Linked DNA regions of Nothobranchius furzeri. The protein of the gene in region 7 purifies or fractionates together with the protein of the main gene of each other region. This does not show direct contact. Links are inferred from orthologs where the notes say so. Each region holds a gene or a part of one and is shown on either strand. Other genes may lie near its edges.

Evidence for each region.
Region 1: the proteins of ppp1caa (region 7) and ruvbl1 purify together in Homo sapiens (affinity purification with mass spectrometry; 4 studies listed by BioGRID and IntAct, counting the BioPlex papers as one, with this or other methods). This does not show direct contact. The link is inferred for Nothobranchius furzeri from reciprocal best matches to the Homo sapiens genes PPP1CA and RUVBL1.
Region 2: the proteins of ppp1caa (region 7) and cdc5l purify together in Homo sapiens (affinity purification with mass spectrometry; 3 studies listed by BioGRID and IntAct, with this or other methods). This does not show direct contact. The link is inferred for Nothobranchius furzeri from reciprocal best matches to the Homo sapiens genes PPP1CA and CDC5L.
Region 3: the proteins of ppp1caa (region 7) and gsk3ba purify together in Homo sapiens (affinity purification with mass spectrometry; 4 studies listed by BioGRID and IntAct, with this or other methods). This does not show direct contact. The link is inferred for Nothobranchius furzeri from reciprocal best matches to the Homo sapiens genes PPP1CA and GSK3B.
Region 4: the proteins of ppp1caa (region 7) and pfdn2 purify together in Homo sapiens (affinity purification with mass spectrometry; 3 studies listed by BioGRID and IntAct, with this or other methods). This does not show direct contact. The link is inferred for Nothobranchius furzeri from reciprocal best matches to the Homo sapiens genes PPP1CA and PFDN2.
Region 5: the proteins of ppp1caa (region 7) and kif18a purify together in Homo sapiens (affinity purification with mass spectrometry; 3 studies listed by BioGRID and IntAct, counting the BioPlex papers as one, with this or other methods). This does not show direct contact. The link is inferred for Nothobranchius furzeri from reciprocal best matches to the Homo sapiens genes PPP1CA and KIF18A.
Region 6: the proteins of ppp1caa (region 7) and uri1 purify together in Homo sapiens (affinity purification with mass spectrometry; 7 studies listed by BioGRID and IntAct, counting the BioPlex papers as one, with this or other methods). This does not show direct contact. The link is inferred for Nothobranchius furzeri from reciprocal best matches to the Homo sapiens genes PPP1CA and URI1.

The regions. Positions count from the first base shown.
Region 1 is NC_091743.1:48,436,484-48,439,669, reverse strand, and holds the end of ruvbl1 (ruvB-like 1), read right to left. Parts: intron 1,823-3,186; coding exon 1,673-1,822; intron 1,596-1,672; coding exon 1,532-1,595; intron 1,461-1,531; coding exon 1,262-1,460; intron 1,188-1,261; coding exon 1,085-1,187; intron 1,011-1,084; coding exon 919-1,010; intron 804-918; coding exon 644-803; 3' UTR 501-643; downstream 1-500. UniProt on the Homo sapiens protein: Possesses single-stranded DNA-stimulated ATPase and ATP-dependent DNA helicase (3' to 5') activity; hexamerization is thought to be critical for ATP hydrolysis and adjacent subunits in the ring-like structure contribute to the ATPase activity.
Region 2 is NC_091752.1:40,109,975-40,113,474, reverse strand, and holds part of cdc5l (cell division cycle 5-like protein), read right to left. Parts: intron 2,867-3,500; coding exon 2,763-2,866; intron 2,406-2,762; coding exon 2,244-2,405; intron 2,136-2,243; coding exon 2,008-2,135; intron 1,848-2,007; coding exon 1,748-1,847; intron 1,642-1,747; coding exon 1,515-1,641; intron 1,409-1,514; coding exon 1,317-1,408; intron 1,240-1,316; coding exon 1,095-1,239; intron 1,005-1,094; coding exon 813-1,004; intron 636-812; coding exon 487-635; intron 1-486.
Region 3 is NC_091754.1:24,463,244-24,466,743, reverse strand, and holds part of gsk3ba (glycogen synthase kinase-3 beta), read right to left. Parts: intron 2,269-3,500; coding exon 2,075-2,268; intron 1-2,074. UniProt on the Homo sapiens protein: Constitutively active protein kinase that acts as a negative regulator in the hormonal control of glucose homeostasis, Wnt signaling and regulation of transcription factors and microtubules, by phosphorylating and inactivating glycogen synthase (GYS1 or GYS2), EIF2B, CTNNB1/beta-catenin, APC, AXIN1, DPYSL2/CRMP2, JUN, NFATC1/NFATC, MAPT/TAU and MACF1.
Region 4 is NC_091742.1:74,820,900-74,824,884, reverse strand, and holds pfdn2 (prefoldin subunit 2), read right to left. Parts: upstream 2,682-3,985; 5' UTR 2,460-2,681; coding exon 2,379-2,459; intron 1,535-2,378; coding exon 1,446-1,534; intron 1,328-1,445; coding exon 1,204-1,327; intron 976-1,203; coding exon 784-975; 3' UTR 501-783; downstream 1-500. UniProt on the Homo sapiens protein: Binds specifically to cytosolic chaperonin (c-CPN) and transfers target proteins to it. Binds to nascent polypeptide chain and promotes folding in an environment in which there are many competing pathways for nonnative proteins.
Region 5 is NC_091749.1:64,375,188-64,379,439, forward strand, and holds the start of kif18a (kinesin-like protein KIF18A), read left to right. Parts: upstream 1-1,452; 5' UTR 1,453-1,578; intron 1,579-2,826; 5' UTR 2,827-2,856; coding exon 2,857-3,172; intron 3,173-4,252.
Region 6 is NC_091744.1:78,624,188-78,628,193, forward strand, and holds the start of uri1 (unconventional prefoldin RPB5 interactor 1), read right to left. Parts: upstream 2,801-4,006; 5' UTR 2,517-2,800; coding exon 2,445-2,516; intron 1,746-2,444; coding exon 1,711-1,745; intron 1-1,710. UniProt on the Homo sapiens protein: Involved in gene transcription regulation. Acts as a transcriptional repressor in concert with the corepressor UXT to regulate androgen receptor (AR) transcription.
Region 7 is NC_091745.1:8,622,297-8,625,254, reverse strand, and holds the end of ppp1caa (protein phosphatase 1, catalytic subunit, alpha isozyme a), read left to right. Parts: intron 1-497; coding exon 498-728; intron 729-814; coding exon 815-919; intron 920-1,002; coding exon 1,003-1,226; intron 1,227-1,657; coding exon 1,658-1,792; intron 1,793-2,007; coding exon 2,008-2,124; 3' UTR 2,125-2,458; downstream 2,459-2,958. UniProt on the Homo sapiens protein: Protein phosphatase that associates with over 200 regulatory proteins to form highly specific holoenzymes which dephosphorylate hundreds of biological targets.

The DNA.
Region 1 (3,186 bases), on a different chromosome or scaffold from region 7:
ATTATTCTACAGGTTATTGTTCAGCCTTCTGACGCTCACGTGTCTGACTGCTGATGTGTGTTTTTATTTCTGCAGTAAGACAAACTCACCTCACACCGTCCACAGTTTGTTCTATGAACAGAGCTTCTATGAAATCCACCGTGTTGACGTATTTAACAAGTTTCCTCTACGCTGCAGGAATTAAAGTTTACATTACGGAGTAAAAGTTCGGCAGACACACACACAGATGGTGTGATCAGCTCTGAAAAGCGTTGATCACAATTTGCAGATCACGTTTATTTTTCACAGAGATCGGCCGCGGATTCCTCTTCCGTCGGCATTCTAGGAATCGAAATAAAAAAACGTTGAGCGATTACACCGGTTCCAATCGATGCCCAACCCTACAACGGTAATCTCACAACTTTTTAGATTTAGTTATAATTGTGAGAATTTAAAAAATCAGGTCACGCAACAAGTGTCAAGTGTTTTATGTGAGACATATTAAAGAAACCAAGACAGTATGTGCTTTTTTGATTTTATTCCAAAAAATTTAAAGAACAAAAAAAAAAAAAGTAAAATTTAGCATTTATTTGAACAGAACTACAACGGTCAGTGACAAGAACTCAACGGAAACACGCCCGATCTGTGGAAGGGTCGGTAAATCTTATTTCATGAACTTGTGATGCTGGTCTTGGAGGATTTTTGCTGAAGACTTGGCGTCGTAGAACAGCTCGTTAATTTCCTCCACCTGCTCCCTCTCCACGGTTTCTTTTCCCTGAACGCGGCCCAGAAGGCTGGCTGGCGTCAGCAGCTGGACGGCGTACCTGGGAGCAAATGAGAAATATTATAAAAGTAGAAACAAACTGGGAGAAGATTCTAAGATTTGAAAAACGTGCATCATGGCGGTTATTTAGACCAGCTCCAGAACAAAGAAGGTACCTGAGGGTAGTCTTGGTTCCGATCTCGGCCAGATGTGTCAGAGCCTCCTCGCTGACGTTGATCCCCTCCGTCTGAGCTCGGATCTTAATAATCTGACAACAGCAGCCTGATTAGAGCCACCGAGCTTATGACAAGCCACCAATCCAACAGCGACTCCCAGACTCACCTGCTTCATTTCCTGCGGCGTGTACATCATGGTACGGATGATCATGACTCTGTCCAGCAGGTCCAGAGGAATTCCGTGTGGAGAGCTGATGTCCTCCGTCCCCCTGGTAAAGAAATAAAAAGATTATAATCTGTAACCGTTGTTCACGTTTACATCCGCTCCTTTGACCCGTCTCACCTGATCAAACAGTTCCCTCTGTTGGAGGCAAACACAACGATGGGGGCGATGCTGCTCTCCAGGGCGCGGTGGAGATACGTGAAGCACTCAATGTCCAGCATGTGCACCTCGTCCACGAACAACACCCCGGGTACCAGCTCAGCCACGCCCTGGTCTATGTAGCGGTTGACTACCTTGTTGATCTCAGTGCGGAGCTTGTCTGGAGACAGAACCGAATGTCAGACGCCGTGATGTTCAGCTCAGGTGAACGGTCCGATTTCGCCATCCTACCTGTGATCTCTGTCTTTTTGGGCTTCATCAGCTGTCCCATCATGGAGAGAATATCCTGACCTCCCTGGGACCAGACAGTGTGATTACTCTAATATTACTTATCATTATTATTAAGGTTATAATATTAGAGCAGCCATGTACCTGCGGCCGAGCGTTCGCAACATCCAGATCGTGCAGCGTGACGTCCTGGACAATCTCCTTCTTCTTGTGGACGTCTCCTTTAGGCAGTGGAACATACTCTTCTGCTTCCAGGTCAAACTCTGTTGCAAACGTGTCACAGCGGCCTTGTCTCTGCAAAAACAACCTCATTAACCAAAAATCTTAACTCGCATCACATCAGTGAAACAAAAGGCAGGAGGCCGAGCGGGCGTGTGCTCCTGCTGCCAGCTCTCTGCAGAAGGATGAAAGGGACTGAGGAGGCAGCTCATCAGATCGCTGTCAACAGTAACAAATGTGTCAGCCAGCCCTCCTCCGCTGCCGTCTGACTACAGCCGCCCTGAGCGCCTCGGCCCACCTGCATCGATTAAAAGATTCGTCGTCACGGCCTGTCAACACGGGCCACAAGCCCTGCTGCATGACGGGAGATGTACAGATAAACGGAGCATGAATCGTTGTGAGAACGAGAGACGTTCATTCCAGAGAACAGAAGAACTGGAGAAGGATGAAAGCAGAATGCCACCATGAAGGACTGAAGAGGTCAAAAACCCTCACGTTTGATCTAATAGGAATAATTAGATTATTTACACTCAGTTTTTATGATGATCTTTTTGTCTGAGATGATCAAAGTATTTCCTGCCATTACTTTACTTTTAGTTCTCATTGTGGACAGAAAAGAAATAGAATAATAATCACAACTTTTTACAGCAAAAACCAGTGGGGTAATAGACTTCTGTTACTGTGCTGTAGTGGGGAGAAGGCATCACGTGATGCTTTTTAATAAATCAAAAAGTGCCTCTTTTATGCAAAGGGTTGATTTTTAAAAAGTGGGCAACTTAAAGTAACACTAACGAGTTTATTAAACTTGAAACTAGAACTTTAACATTGATCTCAGTGATTGTTGAGTTAGAAACTTGTCCAGTTTCATATTAGACACCACTCTGCTGCCCTCGGCTAACCAGAAACCACACTAGATAGTTTTGTGGAGCGGGTAGGTGTCCTAGGGAGCGCTCTTTACCTGCTTTATGGCTGTTAGCTGTAATGCTAGCGATTAGCATTTTCAGTTCGCCGATCATCAATAAAAAGTACAAGAAGAAGAGAAGAAGTTTGTTTTTTTCTGTTGGCATCATGGTGGAGCCTGGAAGTAAAAGTAAGAGAGTAATGTCGTTGAAGGTGAAGCAATGAGCTACAACCAGAGTGAACATCGGCATGGCCTATGCTAGTTTGAGGGAGCTAAAGGAAGCTACAGGATCACGGAATGATGGTGACCTGGCTCTGTTGTTACTGGACTTGTAAGTAATAATATTTTTCTCCAACAGTGTGGATCTTTATACTTTATGGTTTATTTTAGCATTAGTTGGCTCATGCTAGTGTTAGCTCATTGTTAGCGCTAGCTGCAGCAGGGTTGTTTATGACTTTTCAACCAGTAGAGCGAGGGAGCAGGAAACTGCCTGGTGTTACTTTAAGGAGGAAGTCCTCAATGTGAGATTACAGTGTTT
Region 2 (3,500 bases), on a different chromosome or scaffold from region 7:
TCTGTCTATACACCTTATAAGACAATTTAGGTGATGGCATGTTGTTTTTCTGCTACTGAACTGTTTTCTAATAATGTTGTGTTAAATAAAGTGAAGGAAGGAGAGAAATAACATTTCCCTAGCAGTTTTTAAAAATTTCCCCATGTAATCCGATTAATCGATTAATCGTGTCGAGACCCCATCCGATTAATCGATTATCCAAATAATCGTTTGTTGCAGCCCTATTTCCAACAGAAACTCAATTTGAACCAAGAGGGGTTATAACCAGTCTGCTGCACCAGAAGCTAAAGCAACATTAAAACAGGCTACTTAAGCCTTTCTGGTTTAATTACACGAGCAAAAGATTTATGAATCAGCTGATGTTTACAAAACACAAGCTTTGTTGTTTTGGCAAAGCTGGAAGAATAGTTTTAATGAACACATTTTTCTGTAACTAAAGTTAAAAGCTTTGATGCACCATAACAAGACAGGAGAGTGAGATCATACCTGAACGGTGTACTGAGAACAGTGTTTGGTGTTTGGACCTGCTGCCTCTGAGGCGTCACGCCGCTGAAGTCACTCTCGTGCAGCGGGGTGTTGAGACCCCCCTTCAGCGGCGTGTCTATGTTGGTCAGAGCCATCAGGTTCTGGGCTTCCTACAGAACAGAAGCACAAAAACACATGAATATAAACAGAGAAGAAAGCTTCTGCTTGGTTAATTTAAATGAGAGAAAATAAAAAATACAAGTAAATAAAGACCACAAAACAACTGATTTGTACAAAATACCAGAAAACTTAGATGAAGTGAGAAAGTCATTGTGTTTGTGGTCAACCTGCAGGATCCTGTCCTGTGCAGCAGGGGTGCGTGGGGTTCGTAGTCCAGTTGTCATGTTGTTGGTGATGCTGTACTCAGACAGGAGGGTGGAGGAAGCAGAGTTCCCACCTTCGCTTTCCTCAGCAGCCTGGCGGGCGACCTCACTTGCCACTCCCAGTTTCACGACCTCCTCTAACTCCGCATCACTGATCTGAAACCAGAGGAAGGACAGACAAACATCGCTGATCTGTTAGGACCAGATGCATCCGAGCTCAGACACTGCTGTGATCCTGGAGCATACCTGTGGGGCGGGTAACACCAGTTTGGAGCGCTTCTTGGTGAACTCTGCCACTCCGCTAGTCTGCAGGATAGCTGATGGCAGATCGCTCTCTTTCTTCTTCTTCATCTTCTGTTTATCTTTCTTTCGGTCCCTCTCCTCAGACTCGCTACATGTAAACAACTGATTAAGTGAGAACTCCAGATTCAGTTGATGCATAAAAGCAGAGTGTGTGTTGTTACTGACTTGCGTAGCTCCCCGTCCAAGTGCTGCTGCCTGAGTCGTTTAAAGTGTGGCTCCAGGGCATCGTACTGCTCCATGCTGGTGTCATAGAAACCCTAACAGGAAACAAAAATAATTTACAATCCAACTCACAGTCTGACGTTGGTGACACTGGGCTGTAGCTTAAATAATGAATGAATAAATATTAGCATCAATAGTTACTGGTGCAGGTTTCTTTTCAAAGGGGATTTCAGCATTGTAGTCCACTCCTCTCTTCTTCTTTCTCTTCTTCTGAACGTGGATTCCTGCTGCTCTCAGCTCTCTGCGTTTCTGCAGAGCAGCCAGGCGCCTGCAGCAGAATGAGAGTAAAACAAAGGACAAATATTTGTTTGTTATGCACTGATGGATTTCAGGGCTACCCCTGAATGGATGTTAATGGATGGAATTGGCCATACCTGGCTTCCTCCAGCTGTTTCTCTCTGGCCTTCCTCTTGGCTTTTTTGCCCTGCGTGTTGGCCAGACGAGCTCTGGCTTCTGACAACATCTCCAGCTCATCTACAAAGACAAAAACACAGTCGTGTGTATGTTTCTATTGCTGCTAATCGGACCCACTTATTAGCACAGAAACCAACGTTCCTAAAAGAGATGAGAGGAATAATGCTGCAGAACAAAAACTTATTTTGTGCTTGTGAAAGAATGAAGTGTGTGATTTCACCTTCATCCATGTCCACGGGGTCAGGTCTGGCAGGTTTAGTCTCAGGGTTTGGGTCGATCTCTCCTGGTTTCAGCTTCCTGGGATCATCTCCCACCTCTTCCTCGTTGTCTCTCTGTGCTGCTTTATCTCTAAATGAAGACAAAAGCACATCTGTCACCCTGACCTGTAAATTGCCATAAATGCAAAGTTCCTCTCTGGTAGCAAAGAGCAAATGAGTGTAAAAATTGAAACTGTACAGCAGGTATTCATAGTGCTCTAGACACTGGGCAGCAGTGCGCCCAATGATGGGAGCAATGGTCCTCCACTGAGTCGGCATCAGCTTGGCCAAGTGAAGCAACTTCTCCTCCTCTTCTCTGGACCACTCTGTTTTTTTGATACTGGGGTCCAACCACTCGTACCTGCAAACAGAAACACCGTCGACGAGTGATTCAGGTAGTCGGACTGAACACACCTACAACAGAAAAGTATGTTTATGTTTACTTATTTGGCAGACGCCTTTATCCAAAACGACGTACAACGTATAACCTATAGGGCATGTTGTGATGTGTGGGGGAACCGGAGTACCCGGAGGAAACCCACGCATGCATGATGAGAACATGCAACTCCACGCAAAAAGGTCACAGCCGAGTTTCGAACCTGCAACCTTCTTGCTGCGAGGCAACAGTGCTAACAACTGCATCACCATGCAGCCCAAAAAAGTAGTTAACCTTTGTAATGGTCGGTGTCGTGTCCCGGTAGAAAGGCTACAAACTCACCATCTGGCTTTACACTGTTTGGCAGATTTGCGGTGAAGCAGGGAGGCGATACGAGACCACTGGTTCTTCCCATATTTCATCACCGCTGCCTTGAGGATCTCATCCTGAAAAAATTAGGGTAAAAAAAGCAAACAGGCAGAAAGACAAAGTTAGAACTTACATATATTAAAACTAACAAATAATTAACATAAAACATAATAATCATATTAAAGTCATTAAGTTGACTCAGAGCTGCAGCTGTTAGCCTGCACCCACCCCCCAGAGTTCTGGACTTTCTCACGTGGGTCGGAGCATTATCCTCTGTTTCTGCAGTTTTTACTTGGATGACACAGTGAAGAAAACACAGAAAATGTTCGCTATATAAATGCAAGCTCGTGTGTTTTTCTGCTTAGTGTGTAATCTGTGATCAGAAACAGCAGAGACGTGTTCTGACTAGAGACTACTTTTAATCTGTATGGTTCATTTCCACGTAAAATCTAACATCAGCTAGCCTGGCAAGCCAGACTAAATAAATGTATTATTTAGTCTGGCCATGCTCCATTGACGGCTCTCGGTTGTGGGGCGGGTTCTACCGTTGTCTTTCAAATGATCTCCGCATTCCACTGGACAATGAATGTGACATACTCTTGTTTCACTCTGTTGCATCATCCCACCCACCAGGCATATCGAGTGCCCTGATTGGCCCACAAAGCGGATAAAGCTCTGTGATTTGTTCACTAAGCAGATAGAGCACTATGA
Region 3 (3,500 bases), on a different chromosome or scaffold from region 7:
CAATATGGCGCCGTTTCGATTTGAACTGTTGCATGCCGGGAGAAGTGACGTTAACTCCCGGAGCTCTATAGGGTTTATTACTCAAGTAAGGGTAAAAAAAGTAACTGAGTAGAAGGCTACTTGAGTACGGAGTATCATCTGATCTAATATTTTTAAAATGATGACATCAAACAGACAAAAAATAAGAAGTTATGGGCAAATATTGGTATTTTAAAGACTAAAGGGGAAAAATGTAAACAAATAAACAACATAATTATAAAATAACAAATTTTAGGCAAAATTTAGACACAAACTGAGGACAATATTTTCCTGATATACAGGGTTTATTTAGTTGTCTGAAAATGTAACACGTTTAAAAAAAATACCGCGATAATACCGAAAACCGTGATAATTTTGGTCACAATAACCGTGAAGTTAAATTTTCATACCGTGACAACCCTACAGTAGAGCAGCATTGCTGTTAGCCAATCAGAGGTGAGATGTCTGGATATCAGTAAGACTCCAAATCCTTTCATCTTCTGCTGCCCTCTGCTCTGGCTACCTTTGACTTCCTGAAACAGGAGCGCCAGAGCTTTATCCCTATAGAGATCGACTCATTTATAGTAGAAAACACTGCAGACACACTGAAAAAACAAGTGAACCTTGTCTTTATTAAAACTTTCAGTATGCAATAAATGATTATGCTTTATTGCAATTGCAAAAGGATGACTAACAAAAATAGGCATACCTCAAGTCTATTTCCATTCATATTTAGTTTCATTTCAAAATCCATAGTCATTCCAGAAGCATACTCTAAATACTAAACTGATGTTTTTAAGATTTGACAGAAGTGTCTACAAAAACTATTTTAATTTCATAAAGCAGGCTTGACGGTGGTCTTGGTGTGATGACTTTAAAATACCAGACGGAAACTGTTTCTTACATCAAGTTTCCAATGAAAACGGTCATGCTGTTCTTTGATGATGTAAAGAGTTTTACTAAAGAGACCCTGTCGAGAGGAAAATGTGCTCTATTACAATCACCACAAAATAATTTTCATCATTGCCTAGAAAGTACTTTATCAGCTGAATCTATTCAGAACTCTAGGTAGATGATACTTGAGATGGACAGAAATAGCTTTTTGTATTTAGAATAAAATGATTCTAATAAAAAACTTCAAAAACCCTCAAAACTGTTGGATGCAAAAACCAAAGCAGCTTAAACAACCTTAGAATAACTAATAGTTTTTGCAAGGTTCCAGAGTTTACTTTTGAATGAAAATGTTGATTAACTAGATATTTTTCCAGGCTGCAGGTTTAGGCTCTGCTGAATTACAGAAATGACAACAAAACAACTTCCTTATGGTTACTGCAGGGCTTTTGTATTAGATGGTATTAATCATAGTTGATGTGTGTCTGATATAACAGTGCAGATGCCCAAAAGGTTGACCCATTTAAATCTATAACTGGTTGCAGGAGACATATGCAAGTAATCTGCAATTTTAGCATTTATTGCACACAGCAAATATTTGTAAGCATAGCCTGGGCTCCTTGTCACGTCATAGTTCCAGAACAATTAAAACCAGTATCACCCTCTAATTGGAGACTTATGTCCATGTAAACACGCTCATGCAGGCGCTAAGCCAAGAGTTGTTCAGCAAAGAAACATCAACTCATCAGTCAAATCTGTTGATAGCACAGGAGTAGGATGACAGCAGCAGGGTCCAACTTGGAGAGATAAATAACGTATCCTAGGTGTCACCTGAATTAAACCTGATGAAAGCATTAATACGCTCTAATTTATTTGTAAAAAGGAAGTTAGGGGCCTCCGTTTATGAATACACACACATACATACTCTTTCATGTAGGGTCGTGTTGAATGCACATTTTCATTTGTTTTCTTTCGTTCCCCAGCTTTTCTGATCTCCCTGTTCGTGAGATAGATCGCTCCAGTTACATCTCACTCAGTTACTCAGTTACATCCATTACTGAGGTTAATTTCTTTCATGGTTGGTTACGTTGTTTGAAAAGGTGATGAAAATGAAGCCATTTGAGTGTATATTAGTGAACGCACATGTCTTTCACGCATCTATTACCTTAAATCTCTTGTCTTGTAGGACCTTTTTGATCGCCACTAGTTCTCCGGAGTCGCAGAGCTTAGCTTGGTAGACGACACCGAACGACCCGTTGCCGATGACCTTGGTGTCCGTGTAGCTCACCTCCTGTGGCCGGTCGGGGCCTTGGCCTGGGGTGGCCACGACTGTCGTTACCTTGCTGCCATCTTTGTCTCCTACAGATAAAACCACATTTACAGGTGTTCATAACAAAATGTTTGGAGAGAATATACAATTAAAAAACAATGACAGAAATATTGTTTGTAGAAGTTTGGGACACCTCTACAAATAATTGTAAAGGTTCTAGAAGTTCAACCCAAACCATTCTTGATCTGCAGGGTTAAAGCAGTACACCACATAAACACATACCCAGTTGGTCAACCTCGGTCTATGACATCACAATATATCATTAGACCTTCTGGGAATGCCTTTCCTTCCACTTCCTTGCAGGGAGAGTCAAGGTCCAAAGTCCACATTAGCTGGCAGTTAAAGGGACAAGCTGTACAGTATGTGCAGCTATGCAATCACTAAAGGCTTAAAATAATCAGGCTACTGAATTATGAGGACATAAAAAGATAAGAGGTCTGAGAAAAAAACAGGGTTTCTTTCCCCAGAATGTCTATAACTCAAGACAGATTCTGTATCATCATTAACAGAGTGTGCATTTGTGTGCAAAAGAAAGAAAGATCTGCCTACGTACTCCAGCACTGCAATTTCTATAACGCCTCTGCACTTCCTCAAACCGTGAGAAACGTCTGTGTGCACACGTAGACAAACATACAGCTCAGCGTGAGCTCACTTACTGGTGCAAATAAGTGATGACAAGAGCAATTTGGCTGGATTTTAAATACTTGTTTCTTTCTTTTTCAGTATTTTCAGACATGGACAGGAAAGGACTTGCCTATTTTTAATCATCCTGCAAATGCTTGAAGTGTTGCCACAGTTGCAACAGAAAGATCCATATATGGCGAATAAAAAAACTAGAGTAACACAACAGAGTGCTGCAACTTTGAGCCAAAGGCATCAATAGTCAATTAGGGTCACTGGGTTAGCCAAGGCCACAACTGAAACTGGCTGACACACAAAGGGGACAAACAACATAAAATAAATATTTATGCTGAGGATCATCATCACAAACAATACAGAAAATAAGAGCACAGTGGATGCCCAAAATTCACTTTAAATTAATGTGAGTACAATATTTTAGATTCTAACGGCAAAGATCTAATCTGATTTTAAGTTTTGGAACTGAGTCCCAATCAAACTCTTTTGTTATTGATCAAAACGGAGTATCATGAGTACACCAGGTTTATGAGCTAACACTTTCTGACAACTGCTCTTCTTTAAAGGGGTTCTAGAATTTTAATCCATATTTACCTTGTTGTTGAATATAGGCAGACTGTGGTGT
Region 4 (3,985 bases), on a different chromosome or scaffold from region 7:
TTCTAGAATGGTTCGTTTGAAATAAGTCTGAAAACACGTTTCAGAGACTGGCTTTTACTTTGAAAGCGTTCATAAGCACTATTTCCGTAAAGCTTTGGAAGTGTGTGCAGTGTAAAAACCGAGTGAGAGCTCACTGTACTGTCGAGTTGAGGCAGGCTCTGCCGCAATGACATAATCTGGTGAGCATGAGAAACCTCTTCCTTTTCTCCATTTTTCCTTTTGTGTACTGGCTCCTGTTCATGAGTCACGTTTAATTATTTGTTGTTTTTCAGTCCTTTACATCCTTTTCGCAAAAATGTACATCATTTTTAAAGCTTTGTGCGTTTTCAAAGCTGACATACCAATAAATTTCGATTGTGTATGCTTAATGACAATGCAAAAGGATCTAATTCTGACATTAACTTTTTTTTAATGTCTTTAAAAATTTCATCCCAGTGCAACAGGATTTATATGCTAGATGAGAAAGATAAATGTTTTTACTTATGTCAGCAACTTCAAAATCCTTTTTATGGCATTTTAATTTATTTGCTGAATGTATGACAGCATTTTAAAAAACATCTGCAAGGCAAATGACCTTAATGAGGACATAAACAACTGAACAGAGAAGCAGATGACCATGATTATTACAACTTCCAGGAAATTACAGTTAAACAAGAAAACTAAAAGGAACATTATGAAAAGTTCAGTTTTCCACCTAAATTCCTTGACTTGAGCTAGTTTTCATTTCTTCTTCAGTGCTGCAGAAATAACAGGGCACTGCTGTCCCTGTCCATCCTCAAAGCATTATGAGACCAGAACTCCTGCTCCACTTTTGGATCCTCCTCCTTCATTGTCTTGCGAGTTTGCTGCCGACTGGCCCTGCGCCTCTCCTTCACCCTCTCCAACCAGCCGGATATTGTAACGTTCTCTGTACTCTGTGAGCTCCTGTCCTTTTGCCTGCATCTGTGTGTTGATGGTCTCGATTATTTTGGAAATCTATTAGAACAGAGGAAGATGGATGAGAAATCAGACAAACGAAACATCCTGCAGTTGACACCTAAACGTTTATTTTTGACTTCAAAACCTATAAACAAAACTCTTTCTTGTGAAATTATGTAGATTAACTCGATGTACACTTATTGTTATTTTGGTGTTAAATAAGTGATTTAAAATGTCTCAGTTTATTCTCCTGATCATTCCTGTGACCGAAATAAATAACATTACCTTTTCTTTGTTGTTTTCTAAGGCTGGTAGAACTTCTTTTACTGTCCTTTCCACCAACACTCCTCCAACCAGACGAAAGCATTTCCTGGAAGGATCCACTTCCTTTAGGGTCTCAATTACTAAACTAAATATGAAAAGAAATAGCAAAGGTATTAAACGGTCTGTCTTTTGGATTGTTTCCCCTACAAAATCTTGTGAAACATTTGTGTCTAGAACATAAATGTAGATGATGCTCCACCAACCTGTGCTCGTTGACATCCATCTCCAGCTCAGCAGCTTTCGAAGCCATACTACGCTGCTCCTGACGCATCCTCTGAAATGTTGCTACCACCTGAAAACAAATGGAATTTGATCATTTTTTTATTAAGTATAATAAATAAATAAAAAACAGATGCTGCTACTCCTTAGTTGTCTACTGAAACCAAACTCTTAAAGTCATAACTGGTAATTAGCATATTACAATTTTGTTTAAAAGATTATTAAATAAATGTACATAATGCAGCAACTCATTAATGGTAAAGGTTTAATTTTATTATCAGATTTAATCTACAACTTTTTAGAAGTAGTGGACATAAACTTTGTTTATTTGATGGTTTTAATCACCATTTACGCAGAGTCATAGACTTTATATGTAAGAAAATAACAAAAAGGTTATGATACAATATGGCAATATTTACATTTTATTATTATTTTTGTAAAACCTGATCAATAAAGGTTTTGACACATATTTGAAGGTATTGCTCGACTCTAATGTTGCCATTATTGTTGTTAAAGGATATATTACGGACTACAGTGCACTGTATTACAGACATTACAGCAGTGATTTGTTTAATATGGTCTGAGTAATAATTTATTAGGGTTAGGTGGACAAAAATAGCTTTATGCTTAGTCACACCAAACCAAACACATTATTTCAAAACCGTAAATACATAGACTAACGTAAAAATTGTTAGAAGTAAGAGTTTGATGTAAACTCTCATAATGTCCTTATTAGACTCCTAACGGTTCCCGATGTCCAAATTTGGGTTTTGAGCCAGATGATCGCGACAGGAATGCTAATGTTAGCTTAGACTAGCTAGGGGCTATACTTTTAGTTCTGCTTTACCAAACTGAGCCAAACAACAACAGAAATAATTGTAACGACAAATGAAACCTTTTTATATAATTGAGAGTACCTGTTCAGCTGAAAGTCCGGACTGTTTTCCGCCGGCGCTGCTGCTGGACTTGCTACCCGTGCTGCTACCGTTCGCTGCCATCTTGGAAGGGTGTTGCCAATTAGGACCCTGCAGCTATCTAATGAGATTGCCTGAGTGCAAATGCGGCTTGTAAAACATCTAAATTACTTTGCAACCATCTTTTACTTTTTCATGTAAAAACTCAGAAGCAGAACCGCAAACAAAATACAACTTAATTCAACATAAAATAAAATGGCATTTGAAGGAATAATTTCTATTAACTTCCATCAACTTTGTATTGTTTTTGTTTTTTCGTGCATACGCTTTTTTATTTTATGTTTATGTTTATTTATTTGGCAGAGGCTTTTATCCAAAGTGACTTGCAATTTATAACGTATGGGGCATGTTTTGATCTGTGGGGGAAACAGGAGTACCCGGAGGAAACCCACGCATGAATGGGGAGAACACGCAACACGCAGAAAGGCCGCAGCCGAGTTTCGAACCTGCAACCTTCGTGCTGCGAGGCAACAGTGCTAACAACTGCGCCACCATGCAGCCCATTTTCCGAATCTAGCTTATTTATTAAAGCAGTTTCTGCATCGTGGAGTTTTAGACGTGTTTTTTCTCTTTCAAATATTCTTTATTTCAGCCAAAGGACATATTAATCATTAAATTAATTAATTTGCACACCGCCAAGACAAGACAAGACAGCTTTATTTGTATAGCACATTTCCTATACAAAGGTAACTTAATGTGCTTTACAGCAGCCTATAGGTAACATCAAAAGCAAAACAAAAATGAACAAAAATAACAAAAGTTTTCATGTTAGACAATAATCAGAAGCACACCGTACATAAATTAAAATCAATAATTAAAAACAAATGAAGAAATACATGTAAATTTTTAATACAAAAATACACTTAAATGCATTTATCGACATTTTTTTATTTTTATAATTCAAACGCTGTAAAGGACTGCTGAAAGCGGATTAACCTCATACAGACCTCTAGATTTTTATTTGCTCTGGGGTTTTCAGAAGATTGAACACATTAAATGTGTTGTTTGAATTTGTTTTCAAAAGCAACAATGCATGGTTTAGTGCACCTGAACTTAAATTTATTAATGTAAAACTTTGCCATAATAATCAGAATGATTACGAAAAGAGTTGTAATTGAGAAACACACAATATTATTGTCAATATGTCTTCAAAGTTGACTGAAATGCGACGTATACGTGCTGTTTATATCTTATTAGTGAACTAGACCAAACGTTTGCTTTGCAAAATAATATATTTATTCAGTCTGGTTTAAGGGTATTTTTGATAGTTATTTATAAACCTGTGTTATATTTGAATGATTATGATGCATTTATAATACTTTAAAAACAATTTTAGGAGTATAAAAACATTGCCAACTCAAAAACTATTCCACATCCTAAAACAATGGACTTTTCATTACATTTAAAGTTTTATTTTATTTTATTTATTTATTTTTGTTTTTTTGTTATTACCACATATTGTTATAAAAAGTCTCCAGTAGGTGGCAGTAGGGTGCTATATGTACATTTCTGGTCATTTTTTGCATCGCAGAGAAGAAGGGGCTGCTCGC
Region 5 (4,252 bases), on a different chromosome or scaffold from region 7:
TCCGCTAAAGGTTACTTTTCAATGAAAGTTTCAAAGACATTAGTCATGATATTATTGTAAGTATTTTATTGACACCAAGAATAAAGAACCGCAATGTTATGATGCCATGAAGATATTATTACTGCTTTTGGGGTTACATTAAACCTGTTCTAGAATTTGACTGGACCAGGTAAATAAGGAAATAGTCATCTTAAAATTCAACATGTAAAAAAGGCGAATTTTGTTATAACATGAATAATGAGCAAGTCTCCGCCTCAAGGCCATTTATTGCCCTCTAAATTAAATTTGGTTGAAACTTTGTGAGGGGAACTGCTTTTTGTTGGTTACTTATCTGACTGGGTACAGTTTCTGTGAATAATTTTCCTTTTACATGGGCTATGAATTCTGATCTATCACATACTGCTCCAATAAAACATCAACATGAATAAGAAACAAAGTACAGATAGAGAAAAAAGTAGTATAACAATTAAACTAAATATAAATGTATACTTTATCTTATTAAAAACAAAATATATCAAACCAAGGGTGACCCAACTTTTTAAGAGGAGGACCAAAATTATCTTTGTGGGCCACAAAATTAGATTTATGTTTTATTCTTTAAATGCAAAAATTGTTTTCTTTTTATTTGTTTTGGCAGCCTGCTGGAGGGAAAACCCAGAGCAGACTAGAAATACAATTTGGGACAGCACAAATCATCTCTAAAGTCTCCCTCAGAAAACAATTCGAACATTCCTGAATTAAACCCATAATGATATTTATTAGGGAGTTATGTCTTAGGAGAGCCTGTTAAAGGCTATTAATGCTAATGTTGCGCTATCCTTCAAACTGGGTTTAGAGAGGCCAAATTCACAACACAACCCTGTCAGGCAAGGTTTGGTTTCCCCACACACGTGTCATCGTGTATGTTTACACTTTTAAACAGCAAACAACAAAAAGGCAGGGCTTCTGGGATGCTGTCCACTCCACAGAGGTGGCCGCATTAAGCTAACAGGTGTTTGTAAATGGTAATAGTTACAGGGGTTCGTCATACCTGAAATGTATGGAACCTGAAACATATCTAGCTTTTTCTTTAACAATCTGGTGTGTGCTGAATGCACGAAAGGCTCTTTTAAGACCAGGGGAGCTCCGTGCAGTAGAATTAGTTGCTATGCTACCACAATGAATTATCGCGCAACTACACGTGCACAAAAAAGTCAGCAGGTAACCAAAATGGATGAAACGGTTCACTTGAACATTTTAAACTACTTGATTCACAACGATGGTGTTTACTGAATTAGAAACGTGCTATTACCTCACACATCTCACACTGAAGCTTACCGTAGTAGTAGACCACTGATAGGCTCCGCCCTCAAAAGCGTCTTGCGTCGCCCTTGCGTCTCTGCGATCCGCCCAGGTTTTTTTGTCAGCCAATCCGCTGCCAGACAGGAAGCGAGCTGCTGTTTAAAAATATTGGCGCTGGTGGTGATAGCGATTAACAGCTGCGCATTGTTAGCAAGTTGATTATTTTAATACGAGGTGCCGCTTTAATTAGCAACAAAACAGTACTGTGAAATGAGCGTTAACTGTTAGCTACAAACGGTAAGACAACATTTTCACCCGCAGTGCATTTGAGATAGAGACAAACAATGTGAACGTACCGTTGGGAATGACAGCTAGCTGGCTAGTTAGCATATGACGCTCCTCTGGTTAACGTTTTTATGTGTGTCCTATGCAAGCGTGTGCTTCGCTAATTTGCTTGTACGTTAGTATTGACAAATGTTACTTAATGGATAATAACACCAACCATTAGCACGTTTTGCAACTTTATGTTCTCATATATAAAGTAACATTTAATGTGTTTTAACGTTTTTAAATGGCACACCGGCCCGGAAAGGGAACCACCGAACCAGACAGTCGTCTACGTTTTATACAAGACAATTATTTGTCGTTTAAAGAGTATTAAAGTTGCATTAAACTACACCAATAACACAAAACAACATGGGATATTCTAAGGAAAAAATATACTGCTAGCAATAAATCAAACAATAGATTTGAGTATTGGAGTGTATTACAGAAAACAAATATACCTTAGTCAATTTACAATTTCACAAGGAGCTCCTTTAATGAGAATAATATTTATCACGATTATTTTGAACGATGTTCACTTCACATTTGGGTTGTGTTTTGCTTCAACTTATTAATGAGTTTAGCTTAAATGAATGGGAACAAAGCAGCAATCTTGCAAAGTAAATTTAGCCAATTAATAAAATATTAGTGGCGTTAGTTTGTGTTTAATTCTCTAGCAGCTTAAAATTCTTTTTTGTGTAAAAACATAAAACTAATAACCAAGTGAGACAGTAATTTAGAAAAATTAAATCAACTATTATGCTTTTTCTGTTTTGACCAAAGTAGATCAGTAATGCACAGTGCATTTATTCTGACCTCAGTAAATGTCAATAGCATGCATACATTGTATCCTCATTGTTTCACCTTTGAAATAATTTAATGCTGATTATTATACGTGCAATAAATAATACTTTGTCACTAAGTTAAACACTTTAATACACTTATATTTTGTATAAATGATTGGGATTCTTTATAGTCCTTGTGTTCTATAAATATCAGGCGTATTGGTGGCTTTGTGACCTGTTTGTTGCAGATTGCCTCTTTCAGGTATTATTTATTTACACACACACACACACACATATACATATATATATATATATATAGGGTTTTTGACTTTGCAGTTAGAATCCATGGTCAGCGTTAGTCATATAATCAAATGATTGCTACGGGCAAATTTGGAAGTGTTTCTGCTTAGTGAAGTAACATTTTATTTTGTTACAGCAACACTTGGATCACTGCCGAGGAACCACAATGTCAAATGATGTTTGTAGCCATGTAAAGGTGGTGGTTCGGGTGAGACCAACCAACGAGAGCGAGAGACTTGAAAACTGTCGAAATGTGGTCCAAGTTGTCGACAACCACATGCTAATATTTGACCCCAAAGAAGAGGACTTAACGTGTTTTGGGTCACAAAGAGTGCGTAACAGAAACGTCAACAAGAGGGCTAACAAAGATTTAAAATTTGTTTTCGACCATGTCTTTGATGAAAACTCCACTCAAGTGGATGTTTTTGAGAGCACCACCAAAGGTGTGTTGGACAGTGTGATGAACGGATTCAACTGCACAGGTAAAATATGACATCATTGAGTTTACAGATTGTTGCTGCTTTATGTAGTTGCATATTTTTTGTCACTCAGTGCATAGCTTTAGTAATGATCTTTTAAAAAGCAACTGTAGACTTTCTGTATTAGGAAGACCAAAATACTCTATTTTAGCTCTTACAACTAAAGATAAATTAAAACATTTATGGATACAATTATAAACATTTTTATATTTATGTCCTTTTTAAAATGTCTCAAGGTTTCCACATGTTTAATAAATAAAAGCTAACTTTTAATCCCTGCTGTTATTATAATTGTAAAGTTTCTCCTGAATAAAGTTGTGATTTCCTTAACATAATTGCCACCAGTATAAATTATCCCCTCCTTAAAATACTAAAGGCGTTGTTTTATCTGCCTAATGCTCAGACAAGGGTTGATTTCAGGGTATCCGCGGGTCCTTAAGTCTTAAAAAGTCTTAAATTTACTTTTCCAAATTTAAGGCCTTGAAAATCCTTAAAAATTACAAATAATCCTTAAATACAGTTTCCAAAGGTCTTAAATTACCAAAGACCCAATAAACTAGATTATTTTATTCATTTTTGTGAATTTCTAGTTAGTCTTCAGCATTTTTTGTGTATGATGTTGGCGTAAGCGGAACCGTACATATTCAGTTGGTTGTGAAAGGGGGCTATTTTTAGATGAGCACATTAGCTGGTTAAGCTAGTGGGAGCTTGTGCCGTGGAGAAGTGCAAGTTTAATGGTAACTGGATGATTAATCCCACGTTTGCGACATGGTTAGCACCGGTCCCAGGCATTAGCTGGAAATTATAGCAGAAATTAATTTAAAAAAAAAAAGCTTAAATTTGGTCAAAATGGCCTTAAAAAAGGTCTTAAAGTCTTAAATTTGGCTCCCATCAACCTGCAGATGCCCTGGATTTATCCATTTATATTATGTACAAACAATAATCTAAATTGGAATATTAAATTAGCAGTTTTCTGTTATTCATTTATGATTTTTGCAGATTGCATGATTTTTCTCCAATTTCCTAGTTAGGATTCTTCCTACGTTAGTGTTCACTTATTATTGTTTGCACAGATTTCTTTAT
Region 6 (4,006 bases), on a different chromosome or scaffold from region 7:
TTGAGTAAAGAGCTCTACTGTCTTGACGTGCACACACACACACACACACACACACACACACACACACACACACACACACACACACACACACACTCTTCTGGTCCTTTCATTAAGTCCAGGATTCAATCACTTCTCAGCATCCTTCTCAAGTTATTTTGGAGAGCTGTTGTCCCCAGTAGAAGCACAAATGCATGTTTGTCTTTCTTTGTTCGTGAGGGCTTCCATTGACTTCCATTCATTTTTGTGACTGCATTACGCCTAACCCATACCTGCACAGTAATGATAACCAATGCAGATCTATTCCTAACTAACTTTAACTAAAACCTGATTCACACCAAACCTTAAAACCAACTGGTGGACTTTAAGGAGTACTGGGGACTGGTGTTCGGACAGAACACCATACATATCAGAGCAGCATGAATGCAGTTTATGCACGATCATCTAAACCTCCTCTGCATTCTGAGCCAGCTCAGTGGCCTAGTGGTAGAATGTCCACCCTGAGACTGGGAGATCAGGGTTCGATTCCTGGTCGGGTCATACCAAAGACTTAGAAAAAAATGGGACCCAATGCCTCCCTGCTTGACACTCAGCATTAAGGAGTTGGATTGGGGGTTTCAACCACCAAATGGTTCCCGAGCGCAGCTGTGTCTGCAGCTCACTGCTCCCCCAGGGGATGGGTCACATCAGTGTGTGTGACAACTAATGGGACTTTAACTTGACTTTAACTTTAGCAGCCGTCAGTTCAGCATACAGACAGCAAAGTATGAGAAAAAGTGAGTCATTTATATTTTTAATGATAACTGAGTGGCTGCACATTCACTGGTGTTTTGCAGTTTATTTCCAGTTGTGTTCATGTTTTACCATCCACACCAACAGACTGATAAATGTGTATCACAATTTTTTATTTTTATTTTACCACCTTTTATCTCTAAAAAAAATAAAAATAAAATTAGACAATAAAGTAGGGATGCACAGATATGATACTGGTATCGATACCAGTACCAGTATCGTATCGGTAAAAGTTAACTGATACCAGGAACCGATACCAATGCAGTTGCTTGAAAATGGCTTCCCTGTAACTTGTCATTTCTGTTCACCTAATATTTTAGTTTTGTGATGATTTCCATTCATATATTTTACTTTTTATCTACCTCACAGTCGTCTCCTGTTGAAAGCAGAGAAGAAAATACAATCTGTATTCCAAATCATTGCATTTTTTCGTGTGGTAGAAGTATCGGTATTGGTAATCGGCATCGGCGAGTACTCAGATCCAAGTATCGGTATCGTATCGGTTTGGAAAAAAGTGGTATCATTGCATTCCTACAATAGAGCTTTAAAAAATATACAAGTCTGGGTGTCATACGTTTTTTAAAAGTGTATGGTGATCTGATGGGTAAACTGGCCCAGCAAGATGTCATTCAGTTGTTAAATTCTAAGTGTTTAGTGATCTCATGAGTAAACTGGGCCATCAGGGTGTCATATGGTTGTTCTAAACAAAGTGTATGGTGATCTAATTGGTAGAACAAAAAACAAGTTAAAAAATCACAAATCTATTAAGTGTCAAAGTTAAGGGAAAAAACACCTTTTCAGATTACATTTTCAAAAAATACTTTAATCACAGTGTAATATAGTTCAGGATTACATTAGAATAAAGTAGAAAACCATTCCAAACCTTTTCTAGAGACATTCTTGTGAGTTTTGGATGCTTACCAGTGCTGAATCCGACTTTCACAGTCTTTCACCACCTGTTTTAGGACAGATCATTTTAGTTTGTTTACAAATTCAGGTCAACACAATCTGATGTCAGGATAATACATATATTTATTCCTACTGGGAATTTTCAATTCATAAACGCCCTCAATTGTAATAAATAGGTTAATAAAGTTGTGTTGGCAAAGGGAAATTAAATGTATATAATTATTAGTATTGTATTATTAAATAATACAAATGCTCCCCCCCCCCCCCCCCCAAAAAAAACTGTCAAAAACAAAATAAAAGGCTAAGCTTTTGCTTTCTCTTCAACAAAACAGCTGGCTCACGTCTGAACTTTAGTTTTAGTCAAGCTCTAATAACTTCCGGTGACCTTTTGAGTTGTTATAGGGGGCATAGGACTTCCCGATTTGCATTAGACAATAATCTAAATGAATCAAAGCAAAATCTTAAAACTTCCACACAAGTGAAACTTGTGTGCAAGTAAACAAAATTAGCCAAACACACCTCCAGGCTTAAATTTGAACGTAAGAAACTTCTAGAAGGAAGCTAAAGGTAACCTAAAAACACAGATGAGACATGTGACGTAACCAGTGTCGTGCAGAGGCGTCTGTGCGCAGAAGAAATAAGCTCTTCAGCTGACCCACTCGTGGTTTAAACACTCCCAAATGATCCAACCGCGTGGCTCGGCTGGCCTCGCGGGTTCTGCCCACCACCTAAACACCAAAACTTACCTTCTCGTGTTCCTGTCGGAGCCTCGCAACTCCACCGAGACGCTCCAAATTCATTTTCCCACCTTCAGTCATCGTCAATTCACATGCAAAACGGTCAATCTGTGCGTTTTGTGACCCACAAAAACAAAGCTCAGGGGTTGTTGTGAGTCCTAAAGAAGTGTTTATGAATCCAGCAGACGCTATTCCTGAGACCCGTTCTGCACGTATTCATCAAAGGGGCAGTGATGGTTGTCCACACTCTCGGAGGTGATTTCATCTCACACACTCACTTCAGAATTTCTGCATTATTCCCAAATAAATCCACGGTTTCGGTATCCCAAAGATTAGCAGATTCTCCTCGTCACTTTCGCTGCGCCATGCACTCTACAGCAACACGGAAGAAGTTTCAGGCAGACTTCCGGTTAATATTTCCAAAATAAAACACTTCAATTCAAGTTTATTTAAATAGCGACAAGAGTCGTCTCAAGGCACTTCACATCATAAACATTCCAATTCATTAAGCCAATCAGAAAAAAGTTTCCTATATAAGGAACCCAGCAAATTGCATCGTACATCATTCCTCATACTAAGCAAGCATGCAGCGACAGTGGAGAAGAAAACAGTGGAAAGACACCTCCAGAGGATCCTGGCTCAGTATCAGCAGCCATCTGCCACGACTCACTCAAGAAGCGGTCTGTTGGAATAATATAATATAATATAATATAATATAATATAATATAATATAATATAATATAATATAATATAATATAATTCCATGGAGTTTGTTCTTATACAGATATATTTAATTCATTTTTTATATGATGGGCTACATTTAAACCACAAAACATTCAATAAGCTCATCGTCTCACTATAAAACTAGAAAAGTTTAAACCAGCTAGTGTTTTTATGGGAAAATGGGAACCTCACCCTTCCTACTTGCAGTTTTACCAGCTTTACAGCTTTGAAAAAATAAAACTACTCACTAAACTTTGAGATGAATGTCTCACACCAGAAAATTCTTCAACACACACACACACACACACACACACACACACACACACACACACACACACACACACACACACACACACACACACACACACATATATATAATTTTATTTTATTAAAATACCTTGTTATTGTATTTATGTTTTTATTTCATTTTTATTAAGTGTACACATTTAAAATGGAAATGTACAATCAGAATACACATTCATTCATGAATGTGTCTGGTTATAAAAGCAGCATCTACAATAACAGCAAAAATGTATGGTGTGCTTATGGGATGTAAAAAGATTGTGAATACCTCAGGTGTTCTTTTATTGAGGCATACAGGTATAGCTTAAGAAAAAAGAGGTCTGAGGCCATCAGGAAAATGAAGATGGTAGAAATACTTTATTGTTTCATGGCTAGTCAAATAAAAACAGGTTTCAGCCCCATTGACCTTGGTCAGGGAAGGGATTTGCATGCAGATGTATTTTAATCTTATTTACAATTTTAGAAATGAAACTGACCCCAACTGTCCTAGTCCTCTAATCATGAGAACTCATATTTCTACTCTTATGGGTCAAAAGTATCAGTAC
Region 7 (2,958 bases):
TCCTGGGTTTACACAATGGCTGCCTTTTGTTTGGGTTTCAGCATATTACACATCCTACCATTTGTCATAGTATTTGTCACCTAAAGTCCTCTGGAGCAACTCGAAGCCCAAACTCTGCTTGATCAGACAACCACAATGTAGGTTATCACACCCAAAGTTCACAGCTAATCTGGCGACAAGGACAAGTTCGTCTTGCACAACACGTCCATTAATGACCTTATTATTAAAGCTTTAAAATAGTTTTATTGTGTGAACTTCATCAGCTTTTCTTTTCATAATTGTCTAAATAGCAAGTCGATCAATTACAATACAAAAACCAAAAGAATATTTTAGGGAGATTATATCACTAAGACTCTAAATTATCTTTTTCTATTAATAAAAGGAATGAGAGTTTCAGAATTGGTACGGTCCACTTAAAGGCTGGCTAGTTAAAAATAGGATTCTTCCTCATAAATGACAGTAACGCTGACATGGTGTTTCTTTGCTGCCCCCTGCAGGTGATGTCCATGGTCAGTACTATGATCTCCTCCGGCTCTTTGAATACGGAGGCTTCCCTCCTGAAAGCAACTACCTGTTCCTGGGGGACTACGTGGACAGAGGGAAGCAGTCCCTGGAGACCATCTGTCTGCTTCTAGCTTATAAGATCAAATACCCAGAGAACTTTTTCCTGCTGCGTGGCAATCACGAGTGCGCCTCTATTAATCGAATCTATGGTTTTTATGATGAGTGTAAGTGCAAAAGATGTCTGTGAATAATGAACAAGTCAGAGTTGGTTGTACAAATGCTGCAAATGTTTCTTTTTCTTTGCTGGTAGGTAAGCGACGGTATAACATAAAGCTGTGGAAGACCTTCACAGACTGCTTCAACTGTTTACCTGTGGCTGCCATTGTAGATGAGAAAATCTTCTGCTGTCACGGAGGTAGAGCTAGTGAACGTGTGCTTTACGGATGATGAAATATGAACGACTAACAAAACCTGATGTTCTCTCTGCGTCGTCTTTAGGCCTCTCTCCGGACCTCCAGTCCATGGAGCAGATCCGCAGAGTAATGCGACCCACAGACGTGCCTGACCAGGGTTTGTTGTGTGACCTGCTGTGGGCAGATCCAGACAAAGACGTCCTGGGTTGGGGCGAAAACGACCGTGGCGTCTCCTTCACATTCGGAGCAGATGTGGTGGCCAAATTTTTGCACAAACATGACATGGACCTAATATGCAGGGCGCACCAGGTGATGTTTGAGTGGTTTTGTGTAACTCGCCAGGAAAGCTCTGCTCCTGTTAACTTTGATCTCTGCTTGTTGTGGGGGTGTTATTGGGACATGAGTCAACACGCTGTGATATTGCGTCATCTATGTAAATTTAATCCTTTGAGGACTCTAGTGGCTTCTTCATTCTTCTAGCACTGATTCATTCGGACTTGAGTCACTTTTATGTTCCTCGTGTTTTTACTGGGATGCACCCTTCACAGGGGCACACAAAGGTTACGTACGGTAGTTCCTAATTTAGCTCAAGTACAACTGTAATGTAAGAACTGCAACTCAAACATTTCACAAACGTGTCGGGGAGGAAAATCTTTTTCCCTGATTATGTTTAATCGTTCTCACCTGGACCTGAGAAACCCTACTAGTCTTTGTTCTGACACTTTTATTTCTGTGCTAAGGTCGTGGAAGATGGTTATGAGTTTTTCGCAAAGAGGCAACTCGTCACTCTGTTCTCAGCGCCCAACTACTGTGGAGAGTTTGACAATGCTGGTGCCATGATGAGTGTGGACGAGACGCTCATGTGCTCCTTTCAGGTGGGTAAACACACGGCCTGTTTGTTACTGCTCCATGTAGCTTAGCTGAGTGATCTTCGTATCATTTGTGTGTGTGTGTGTGTGTGTGTTTCCTAGCTCCTTGTCAAACGGATGTTTAACATATTGAACTTGACAAATATTCAAATTGGGACTTTAAATTAGAAGAAATTGTGTTTGCCATTTTAATGTGGATCATTCCTTCATCTGTCTTGCAGATTCTGAAGCCAGCAGATAAGAAATTGTATTCTTTCGGAGGAGGAGGAGGAGTGGGATTAGGAAGACCGGTCACTCCTCCAAGAAATTCAGCCAAGGCCGCTAAGGCCAAGAAATAACACCTGCTGAGTTCCCTTCCTACAACCTTTTCACCCTCTGTTGGCCCAACTTTCTTTTTCTTTTTCTACCTCCTAATCTTGTTTCTCTTAGTTACCGAATGGCAACAAAGACGACCAGTGTCCAATGTTCATTCGTGTGTTATATATATTTTGTTTGTTTCTAAAACAAAGTTCAAACGTTTATCTGGTTATTTACGTGTGTGTGTGAGAGGGAGATGTGAGAACGACACAAAGGGAGTTGCTGTATTCTGTACGTTTTATTTCCCTTCCTCTTGGTCTTTCTGTTGGTTGCAGAGACGGGTTTGTCCCACTCATCATGTAAATCCTAGCCTGGCTGCAGGGGTGGGAGAGCACAGCGCTGACTGATTATGTTAAGGCCAGGCACTGTTCAGCATTACTTTCATGCTTTTGTAAATCATGTTTCACGTATTCATTTATGTCTTTGATGGGTGTGTGTGTGTGTGTGTGTGTGTGGGGAGATCATAGATCAGGTTGCACAGCTGGAAGGTAACGGCACAGGTGGATCTATAGAAGTGCAGGTTAATGCTCGAGTTTGATGAATTCACAATAAGATGACTTATTTTTTTTTCCTTCTTCCAACTTGAAAATCGTTTGAGATGACATGGATGTGATGTAGAGTTGCTCTTTTCTTCAACCTAATTTTTGTTTTATTTTTGTAGATAACTGAAATGAGTATGGTTTTATTTTCCTCTTTCTTTTTTTTAGTTTATTTGAAGCTGAAGATGAATAAAAAGTAACCATTTATTTGAATACGCCATCATGCTTATCACTTTGTTATATCTGTCGCTCAGTGGTTGGTTTCTGTTGTGGTTT